Xenopus tropicalis: one gene and its partner. The protein of the gene in region 1 binds, or shares a complex with, the protein of each later gene. Links are inferred from orthologs where the notes say so. Each region holds a gene or a part of one and is shown on either strand. Other genes may lie near its edges.

The links. Proteins that work in one complex are often made in the same cells at the same time.
Region 2: pole3 (region 1) and pole share a complex: the UniProt entries of both Homo sapiens proteins name them as parts of the DNA polymerase epsilon complex. The link is inferred for Xenopus tropicalis from reciprocal best matches to the Homo sapiens genes POLE3 and POLE.

The regions. Positions count from the first base shown.
Region 1 is NC_030684.2:2,369,207-2,374,475, forward strand, and holds the start of pole3 (DNA polymerase epsilon subunit 3), read left to right. Parts: upstream 1-1,952; 5' UTR 1,953-1,996; intron 1,997-4,256; 5' UTR 4,257-4,271; coding exon 4,272-4,337; intron 4,338-4,729; coding exon 4,730-4,815; intron 4,816-5,269. UniProt on the Homo sapiens protein: Accessory component of the DNA polymerase epsilon complex. Participates in DNA repair and in chromosomal DNA replication.
Region 2 is NC_030677.2:144,162,948-144,167,661, forward strand, and holds part of pole (DNA polymerase epsilon catalytic subunit A), read right to left. Parts: intron 2,626-4,714; coding exon 2,523-2,625; intron 2,436-2,522; coding exon 2,355-2,435; intron 2,015-2,354; coding exon 1,892-2,014; intron 1,037-1,891; coding exon 824-1,036; intron 719-823; coding exon 506-718; intron 422-505; coding exon 278-421; intron 1-277. UniProt on the Homo sapiens protein: Catalytic component of the DNA polymerase epsilon complex. Participates in chromosomal DNA replication.

The DNA.
Region 1 (5,269 bases):
TTACACATAACTATAAACCCAGTGAGAATGAGGAATGAATGGGTATTGGGGAGTTGTATCAAGAGTCAGAACCAGCAGTGCAGGGAAGGGAAAGGGACAGACACAGTGACAGTTACACATAACTATAAACCCAGTGAGAATGAGGGATGAATGGATATTGGGGAGTTGTATCAGGAGTCAGAACCAGCAGTGCAGGGAAGGGAAAAGGGACAGACACAGTGACAGTTACACATAACTATAAACCCAGTGAGAATGAGGAATGAATGGATATTGGGGAGTTGTATCAGGAGTCAGAACCAGCAGTGCAGAGAAGGGAAAGGGACAGACACAGTGACAGTTACACATAACTATAAACCCAGTGAGAAATGAGGGATGAATGGGTATTGGGGAGTTGTATCAGGAGTCAGAACCAGCAGTGCAGGGAAGGGAAAGGGACAGACACAGTGACAGTTACACATAACTAATAACCCAGTGAGAATGAGGAATGAATGGGTATTGGGGAGTTGTATCAGGAGTCAGAACCAGCAGTGCAGGGAAGGGAAAGGGACAGACACAGTGACAGTTACACATAACTATAACCCAGTGAGAATGAGGAATGAATGGTATTGGGGAGTTGTATCAGGAGTCCAGAACCAGCAGTGCAGGGAAGGGAAAGGGACAGACACAGTGACAGTTACACATAACTATAAACCCAGTGAGAATGAGGGATGAATGGGTATTGGGGAGTTGTATCAGGAGTCAGAACCAGCAGTGCAGGGAAGGGAAAGGGACAGACACAGTGACAGTTACACATAACTATAAACCCAGTGAAGAATGAGGGATGAATGGATATTGGGGGAGTTGTATCAGGAGTCAGAACCAGCAGTGCAGGGAAGGGAAAGGGACAGACACAGTGACAGTTACACATAACTATAAACCCAGTGAGAATGAGGAATGAATGGATATTGGGGAGTTGTATCAGGAGTCAGAACCAGCAGTGCAGGGAAGGGAAAGGGACAGACACAGTGACAGTTACACATAACTATAAACCCAGTGAGAATGAGGAATGAATGGGTATTGGGGAGTTGTATCAGGAGTCAGAACCAGCAGTGCAGGGAAAGGAACAGACACAGTGACAGTTACACATAACTATAAACCCAGTGAGAATGAGGAATGAATGGATATTGGGGAGTTGTATCAGGAGTCAGAACCAGCAGTGCAGGGAAGGGAATGAGGAATGAATGGATATTTGGGTGTAGGACACACATAAGGAGTCATGTGACACAAATGACATCACCAAGCACAGATTATAACAGATGACGTCAGTAATATTATATCATTACATTTCAGTAGGGATAATAATCACGTCTAAACCCTCCCCTGAAATCGGGCCCCCAGATCTTTTAACCCTTCATTGCTATAAAGGGATGTGGGAGTTGCAGTCCAATCACGGTTAGTAAGAGTAAAGGGGAAGCAAAGCCTTAGGAACATATTTTGTGTTATTTAACCATCAGGTGTCACATGACTGAGACCCTTACGGGAACAGACCCCCTGTCAGCATCAGACACTGCTCATTCACCCCAATATCTTCCTGCCCCGATTGCGCAAATACAAAAAAAAACTTACCCTCTCCCGGTTACCATAACAACAAAAGACGCTTCCGGGAACATTCCCAAGCAATATGGCTGCCGTGTATTCCAAGCCTCGTTCTCGCAATGAAAGTTCTGCTGAGTGGTTATGAGGCTTGGTACGCGCAAGGCATTCCCGTTACTAAAACCCTCCTCTGTTCAGGTGACACAGAGCAATGGCGGCCCCTTTATTTTGTAAGGTGGAACGCAAGGCGTTAGGAGCGACTGTTGGAACGCAAGCCGGGGGGGGGGTTTGCGTTCCAATAGGGGTTCCGAGGGGCGGGGCTTCTGAGCCACGTGGTGCTGGTAAAGGTTCGGCTGGAAGGCGGGAAGTGGAGAAGGAGGAAGAGCGCGTCTGGTTATTGTTCCTGTCAGTGAGGGGCCCTGAGGTACAGTATGGGGGGGGGGGTGTATCATGGGGCTGGTGGGCCTGTGCGGGGGTCGGTGGGTGCCCAGCTCATCACTCTAACTTTAGGGCTCAGTAACCTGCCCTGTGGTGTTGGACTACAGCTCCCAGCTACTCTCTTTCCCTGCTGTATATTACTCCTGTTCCTGCCCCTCTCCTACCCAGGTACCGCCCCTCCCCTCCCCAGGTGCCGCCCCTCCCCTCCCCAGGTACCGCCCCTCCCCTCCCCAGGTACCGCCCCTCTCCTCCCCAGGTACCGCCCCCCTCTCCTCCCCAGGTACCGCCCTCCCTCCCCACGTACGCCCCCCCTTTCCCCCCTCCCAGGTGCCGCCCCTCCCTCCCCAGGTACGCCCCCCTCTCCTCCCCATGGTAACCGCCCTTCTCCTCCCCACGGTGCCCCGCCCCTCCCCTCCCCAGGTTGCCGCCCCTCCCCTCCCCAGGTACCGCCCTCCCTCCCCCAGGTACGCCCCTCTCCTCCCCAGGTACGCCCCTCCCCTCCCCAGGTCCCCGGCCCCTCCCTCCCCCAGGTACCGCCCCTCCCTCCCCAGGTACCGCCCCCTCCCCCAGGTACCGCCCCTCCCTCCCAGGTAACCCCGCCCCTCCCCTCCCCAGGTGGCCGCCCCCTCCCCCCAGGTGCCGCCCCCCCCTCCCCAGGTGCCGCCCCTCCCCTCCCCAGGTACCGCCCCTCCCCTCCCCAGGTGGCCGCCCCTACCCCTCCCAGGTGCCGCCCCCTCCTCCCAGGTACCGCCCCTCCCCTTCCCCAGGTCCGCCCCCCCCCCGCCCCTCCCCTCCCCAGGTGCCGCCCTCCCTCCCAGGTACCGCTCCTCCTCCCCAGGTACCGCCCCTCTCCTCCCCAGGTAACCGCCCCTCTCCTCCCCAGGTACCGCCCCTCCCCTCCCCAGGTACCGCCCCTCCGCCTCCCCAGGTACCGGCCCTCCCTCCCCAGGTACCGCCCCTCCTCCCGCAGGTACCCGCCCCTCTCCTCCCCAGGTTACGCCCCTCTCCTCCCCAGGTAACCCCCTGCCCTCCCCAGGTACCGCCCTCCCCTCCCCAGGTACCGCCCGCTCCCTCCCAGGTCCGCCCCTCCCTCCCCAGGTGCCGCCCTCTCCTCCCCAGGTACGCGCCCTCTCCTCCCCAGGTGCCGCCCCTCCGCCTCCCCAGGTACCGCCCCTCTCCTCCCCAGGTACGCCCCCTCCCCAGGTGCCGCCCCTCTCCTCCCAGGTACCGCCCGCTCCTCCAGGTACGCCAGCGCCCCGCTCCTGCCCAGGTACTGCCCTACTCCACTTATACCCAGGTCCTGCCCCGCTCCTGCCCAGGTCCTGCCCCTCTCCTCCCCAGGCACTGCCCCGCTCCTGCCCAGGTCCTGCCCCTCTCCTCCCCAGGCACTGCCCCACTCCTCCCCAGGCACTGCCCCTCTCCTCCCCAGGCACTGCCCCTCTCCTCCCCAGGCACTGCCCCTCTCCTCCCCAGGTACCGCCCCTCTCCTCCCCAGGTACCGCCCCGCTCCTCCCCAGGCACCGCCCCTCTCCTCCCCAGGCACCGCCCCTCTCCTCCCCAGGCACCGCCCCTCTCCTCCCCAGGCACTGCCCCTCTCCTCCCAGGCACTGCCCCTCTCCTCCCCAGGTACTGCCCCGCTCCTCCCCAGGCACTGCCCCGCTCCTCCCCAGGCACTGCCCCACTCCTCCCCAGGCACTGCCCCACTCCTCCCCAGGCACTGCCCCTCTCCTCCCCAGGCACTGCCCCACTCCTCCCCAGGCACTGCCCCGCTCCTCCCCAGGTACTGCCCCTCTCCTGCCCAGGTACTGCCCCTCTCCTGCCCAGGTCCTGCCCTGCCCAGGTCCTGCCCCGCCCCTGCCCAGGTCCTGCCCTACCCCACTTATACCCAGGCACTGCCCCGCTCCTGCCCAGGTACTGCCCTACCCCACTTATACCCAGGTACTGCCCCGCTACTGCCCAGGCACTGCCCTACTCCACTTATACCCAGGCACTGCCCCGCCCCTGCCCAGGTCCTGCCCTACCCCACTTATACCCAGGCACTGCCCCGCTACTGCCCAGGCACTGCCCTACTCCACTTATACCCAGGTCCTGCCCTGCTCCTGCCCAGGTACTGCCCTACCCAGGCACTGCCCTACTCCACTTATACCCAGGTCCTGCCCCGCTCCTGCCCAGGCACTGTCCTGCTTATATCCACTTACTGCCCTGCCCATACCCAGGTACTGACCTGTCCCTTTCCTGCCTTCCAGTTGTAGCTGAGCAGAATGGCCGAGAGACCGGAAGATCTGAACTTGCCCAACGCTGTGGTCACGCGGATCATTAAGGAAGCTGTAAGTGAAGTGTTAGCTGTTGGGTTTCCGCTGTTGTTCAGATGGGTCTGCCATGTTCTACACCCTTACAATAGGACTCCACTAACAGAACTCCTGATCCAGTTGGCACTACTGGGTTCCCTCCCACAGCCCAAATACACACACAGGCAGCTCATTGGCCCCTGATAAAACTGCCCCTGTATGTGTGTAATAAGGACCTTAGATTGTAAGCTCCATGTGGCAGGGGCTGATGTTTAATCTCTGCATGGAGCTGCTATACATGTTGTGTGTATATATATATATATATAGCAGCTTGTAGTGTCATGTGATGCAACTCCCTAGGGCTGTAGGGTCTCATCACCAAACCAACTTCCTAAATGCTCCCAACTAATGCTGATTGTCTTCTCTTCCAGCTCCCAGAAGGGGTTAATATCTCCAAAGAAGCACGGAGCGCAATATCCCGGGCGGCCAGTGTCTTTGTATTGTATGCGACATCTTGGTAAGGGTCCCAGGGGTACTCTGTACTGTCATAGGGAAACACTATGGCACCCCCTACCCATATGTATAAATACAAATATACAGAGAGGGAATGTTCTGGGCACACAATAAGCTGTACCTCCATACTGTACTGTCTAAGGGAAACACTATGGCACCCCCTACCCATATGTATAAATACAAATATACAGAGAGGGAATGTTCTGGGCACACAATAAGCTGTACCCCCATACTGTACTGTCTAAGGGAAACACTATGGCACCCCCTACCCATATGTATAAATACAAATATACAGAGAAGGAATGTTCTGGGCACACAATAAGCTGTACCCCCATACTGTAACTGTCTAAGGGAAACACTATGGCACCCCCCTACCCATATGTATAAATACAAATATACAGAGAGGGAATGTTCTGGGCACACAATAAGCTGTACCCCCATACTGTACTGTCTAAGGG
Region 2 (4,714 bases), on another chromosome or scaffold:
CAAAACAAGCCAGAAATAGGCATTCTGATCAAAAACCACATCATTGTGCATTAAATGTATATTCCCTTATGTAATAAAAAAGCACTATGTTTGCCCAGTAGCCCATATCTACCAATAAGATGTTAGCTTTTAAAACATGTGACCAGTAAATTCTACCTAAGGATTGGTAGCTGTGGGTTATTGCATCAAGTCAAACTTAGTGCCTTTCAGTACAGAGCCCAGAATGTTTTTTATGCAAAAATCTTTTTAAGCTGCAACACAGTAGGCAGTTGCTCACCTTCCGGTAGACCGCTCCCTCTTCCGGTTTAGGGATGCGCTGGTTCACAAAAAAAACACGAGGAATGTTGAGTTTAATGCAGTGCAGGTCATTGCCAATAACAGCCCACAGGCGGAAAAGCCCCGGCTGGCTGCTTTCACCAATCTGTAAAAGACACCAAACAGTTCCATCTATTAGGAATTTTAAACTTACCTCGAAACCAGAACAATAAAATAAAAGACCACATACTTGCACAATCTGCCATGGCATGTCTAGAATACTGCGTGCAGTCCGTCTCAAAAAACTGCCAAGTCCAGCTGCCTGGGTTTCTCGTATCACTCCTCCTGCACCTGGTGCCACATCTCCATCCTCCAGTCTTCGTTTCTTCTGTCGCTCTTTTCGTTGACGTGCCTGTAGCTCCCACTTTTTCTTGTGGTAACGGAGCCAGACTAGACGTTCTTCCTATTGGTTCAAAATGTATTACCATTCCAAATTTTAATCATCAAAATGTATCACAAGGGAATACATCATTGCTTTTTTGTAGCAAGTAAAGACAGGACTGCTCACCTTGGTGGTACCTAGTGGAGGTGGCGGTCCCAAAACTTCACGCCAAGACTGGGTAAGAGCCAGGTTCTGGGAGTCTCCTTGGCTGTCTTCAGCTGTTGGGACACGCTTTCTTTTGGTGCTTATTGGCACTGCTGGTTGCAGACGCTTGCCTATTCCAAAATCTTCCATGTCTGGAGTTTGCGAGGAATCCGGCTGCTGCATCTGGGCAGTGATCTGGTTCAGATAATAAATTAGTTAAAAAACACTAAACTATACAAAGAACAAAGGCAAAAATGTTATCTGAGCCAGCGAAAACGTTAACAAGTCAGGTAATATACGCGTAAACTTTTCTGACTAGTATAAACAAAAAATATATGTGGGTATATAATGTGTTGCGTTTTCATTTTTCAAGCAGGTCTGAAGTTCAAGAGTTAATATTGTTCCATCACAGTGTAAAGTGATTCAATATCCTCCCCAGCTGAAAAATTGCATTAGTGGAAATCTTATTATTTCATGGCATCATGGAGAAGAGGGCTGCTACCTCTGATCTAATTACTGTAAAGAAATGGTTTGACGTGCAAGTCACAATTAAGGATAGCTCAGAGATGATTATTTAGGGATTTCTGCTATAAAGCCACTCTGCCTTTAACAAACTGATGGCACTTACTGGATCATTAGCACGATTAAACAAAAATGATGATGACTGGACAAAAACCTACATAAAACCAATGTATAATTAACCGTTTTCAAGAATATCTTGCAACTAAAGACAATCCAAACAATGTAAAGGTATAACATTTATAGCACAGTTACTCTTGTTTTTCTGCTAAGTAACCAAAACTATGCTAATGATGACAAAAAGAAGGCCCTTTATCAAAGTATTCAGCCTTGTAAACTGAAATACCATAAAGGATTGCAAACAATCTTAAGAATGCTCTGGCAACAATTTAAAATTATGTTAACAAAAATATCTCAAAATAAGCAGCTGCTCCTGCAGTAAAGTGGATAACTAGCAGAAAGGAATATATAAATTTAAAAACACTCTGAACTTTCATATATGATATTTAACTACAATTAACGGTCAAGTACCTGTCTTTTGCCTTCACTGGTGAACAGCTCATTGATTCGTTTTTGTTTGTAGATATCATTTTTTTCCAGCAGCTTTTTATGAAGCCAGTCTGGATGACGTACACGTGGGACAGGATTCTTCACCTAGGAGAGACACAACAAAGGGTATGACATACAAGATTTAACAGTGTTAATGCCTTGCGCCACAAAAATTCGAAGACATTACGCAGAAGTGACTGCTGGAAGATTTCAAGCTACTTGCAAACTTTATGAATAGAAACGGTAACTATCGCTGCAGATACCTGCTGGTGTATACAAAAGCACACTTTGCTTTGATTCCATATGAATCCCCAGATACATAAACTTCTTTTTTAGTTTTAACAAGTTTGACTAAAATAGGGAGATCACGCAGCACCGGCAAGCGCCAAACTTCACAGGTTATTGTTCCTCTGTGTGTCTTATACAGACAATGTCCCCTACATACCTGCTGCAGTGCTGCTGGGATGGTAATAATCTTCTGAATTGCACTGCCCAATCTTTCTATGTAGTAATCCCAGTCTAGAATCTAATGGGTAGAAATAGGGTTATAGATAAAAATAAACCACAGGTGCTAATAGGAAATATCAAAATATTACATTGATTATGAACTTACAGAACGTATATCCAGGTCCTGCAAGGAAGGATTTTTTAGCCACTTTCGCAAGTAATGCCTTTTTACACCCACTTCAGCCTGGAAGATTGCCAGGGGAATGGCCCTGCGGAACAAAAATATAACTAAATAAAATTACCAGACCCCAGTCTTCCAAATGACTCAAAAGGTTTTAACAGCATACACAAAGCCCTTTTTGTTTTCTTGGAGGCATAGGAACAAATGAAAACTATCAAAGCAGCCCCATAACAGTCCAAGGGTGAAAGAAATCGAGCACAGTGGGCCAGTCATCCACAATACAGCTATACCTTCTGTTCAAAGAAACCACCTGTTAAGGGCAGAACATTCAAATATAGAACTTCGGAAAACATATAAATTGATAAACCTGCTGACAAGCAGTTAAGCCTAGCTGCCTAGGATATGCTGATCACTCTAGTGGAGTACGCCTTCAACCGCTTTAAAGGCAGCCTGTTCATTGCCTCATAAGTCAAGAAAATTACTATACAAATTTGACCCAACGGGCCTGCAACAAATTTAAGTTTACTATGGACATACTATAAACTGACACAGGCTATTACTTGGCTTAACCTACCCCCCTATGTGAGGAAGGGTGTGCTTTAAGTTTTGTCCCCGCTAAAAAAAAAAGCAATACATTTAGGTTGATTGTGGGCTGGAAAATTGAGTTTTCTTTACAAGATATTTAAAAAGACTTTGCTTGGTCAGATTCTGGAGATTCTTGGATCTTAAGGGTAGAATACTGCACTGACCAAAGTGTGGATTGACACTGCGGATTCCCTCAAAATGCTTCCCCTTTAAACATTTCTAGAGTTCAAAACAGGAAATCATGCCCAGACATGGATTCTGCCTCAACGGAGGCTGATTAGACTAACAGATCAGCCTAACCATTAAACTGGACATGAAAGGAGAGCATCCTTTTTTTAGAGTGACCATAAACTGAGGTAGTCATTAGCAAACTGTGCCCAATCAGCATAACATCACATGATGTCTCCAGCCAGGTTGGCTGCATGCTTAAAGGAGAAGGCAAGGCATTTTATGCCAATAGATTAGCAACATCAGTGCAAGTCCAAGAACACCTTTTAATCTGTAGAAAGCTTTAACATACCTGAGTAAACAACCCTAGAAACTCCCTGTTTGTTAAAGATAGCAACTGCCATTTTAGCTAGGACTCTGTAGTTTCTGTGCTGTAGCTCTAGCCACTGGTAACTCAGATCATACATTCAGATGGGAGGGGGAGTGAATTCTTATGGGAGGGGGAGCAGGAGAAGGGAGAGAGCTGTGCAGACTTTTCCTGGAGAAAGAAGGATTTTTTCGAGAGAGGAAGTTTGATACCGAAGAACATGTTTATCCAAAGGAAAACAAGAAATCCAGTGTTTCTATTGATAGAGGACCCCTTCACCAAGCACCAGCTATAACTGCTTGGACTAAGCAGAGGCATGTGGGCACAGGAGCAAGAAAGCAGTTAAGCGGGTTGGAAACTGCCCTGAAAGTGATGTGCCAAGTGACCCAAAACATGCAGGACAGGCAGGTTTAGGCTGAAAGATATCTGGAAGTGCCACCAGTGCGGGAGGCCGAAAGATCTGACTAGACCATTGGCCCCAAGAAGGTGAAGGCTATAAAAGAAAACCTCACCATGAGGCCTCTCAAATGTTCCCTGCCTGTAGATTTCCTCTGCTTGGAAATCTCTCTCCATACTTCTTACTATAGTACACTTGGGGGCACATTCATTAAGGCACGAATTTTCGCCAATTAAAAGCACGATTGGAAAAAATTCGGAGTAACCATGATAATTTCTGATGTGCGAAAATTGTGCAAAAATTATTTTCTTGGTCGTACGAAAATAATGTGGTTGTGATCCGAAAGTCACAAAATTTTCATATCTGAACGATCTTAAACAGCGCAAAAACCTTTCTGGCGTTGAAATTCAATGCATGATTTTGGAAGCCTTTTATAGGACTCAATGGCACCAACCTGGCCAAAAGAATGTCACGATACCAAAGCTTGAATAAATTCTGAAATGGTCACAGTCTCAAAAAAATTACTTTTTCGTAGAATTTAACGAAAATCACAAAAAAGTCGTACTATTTTAATGATATTATTGTGGTCAATATGAAAAGTTCTAACACAAAAAAAAAATAGAAAAAATACAAATTTTTCTCATTCGTGGTCAATCGTGC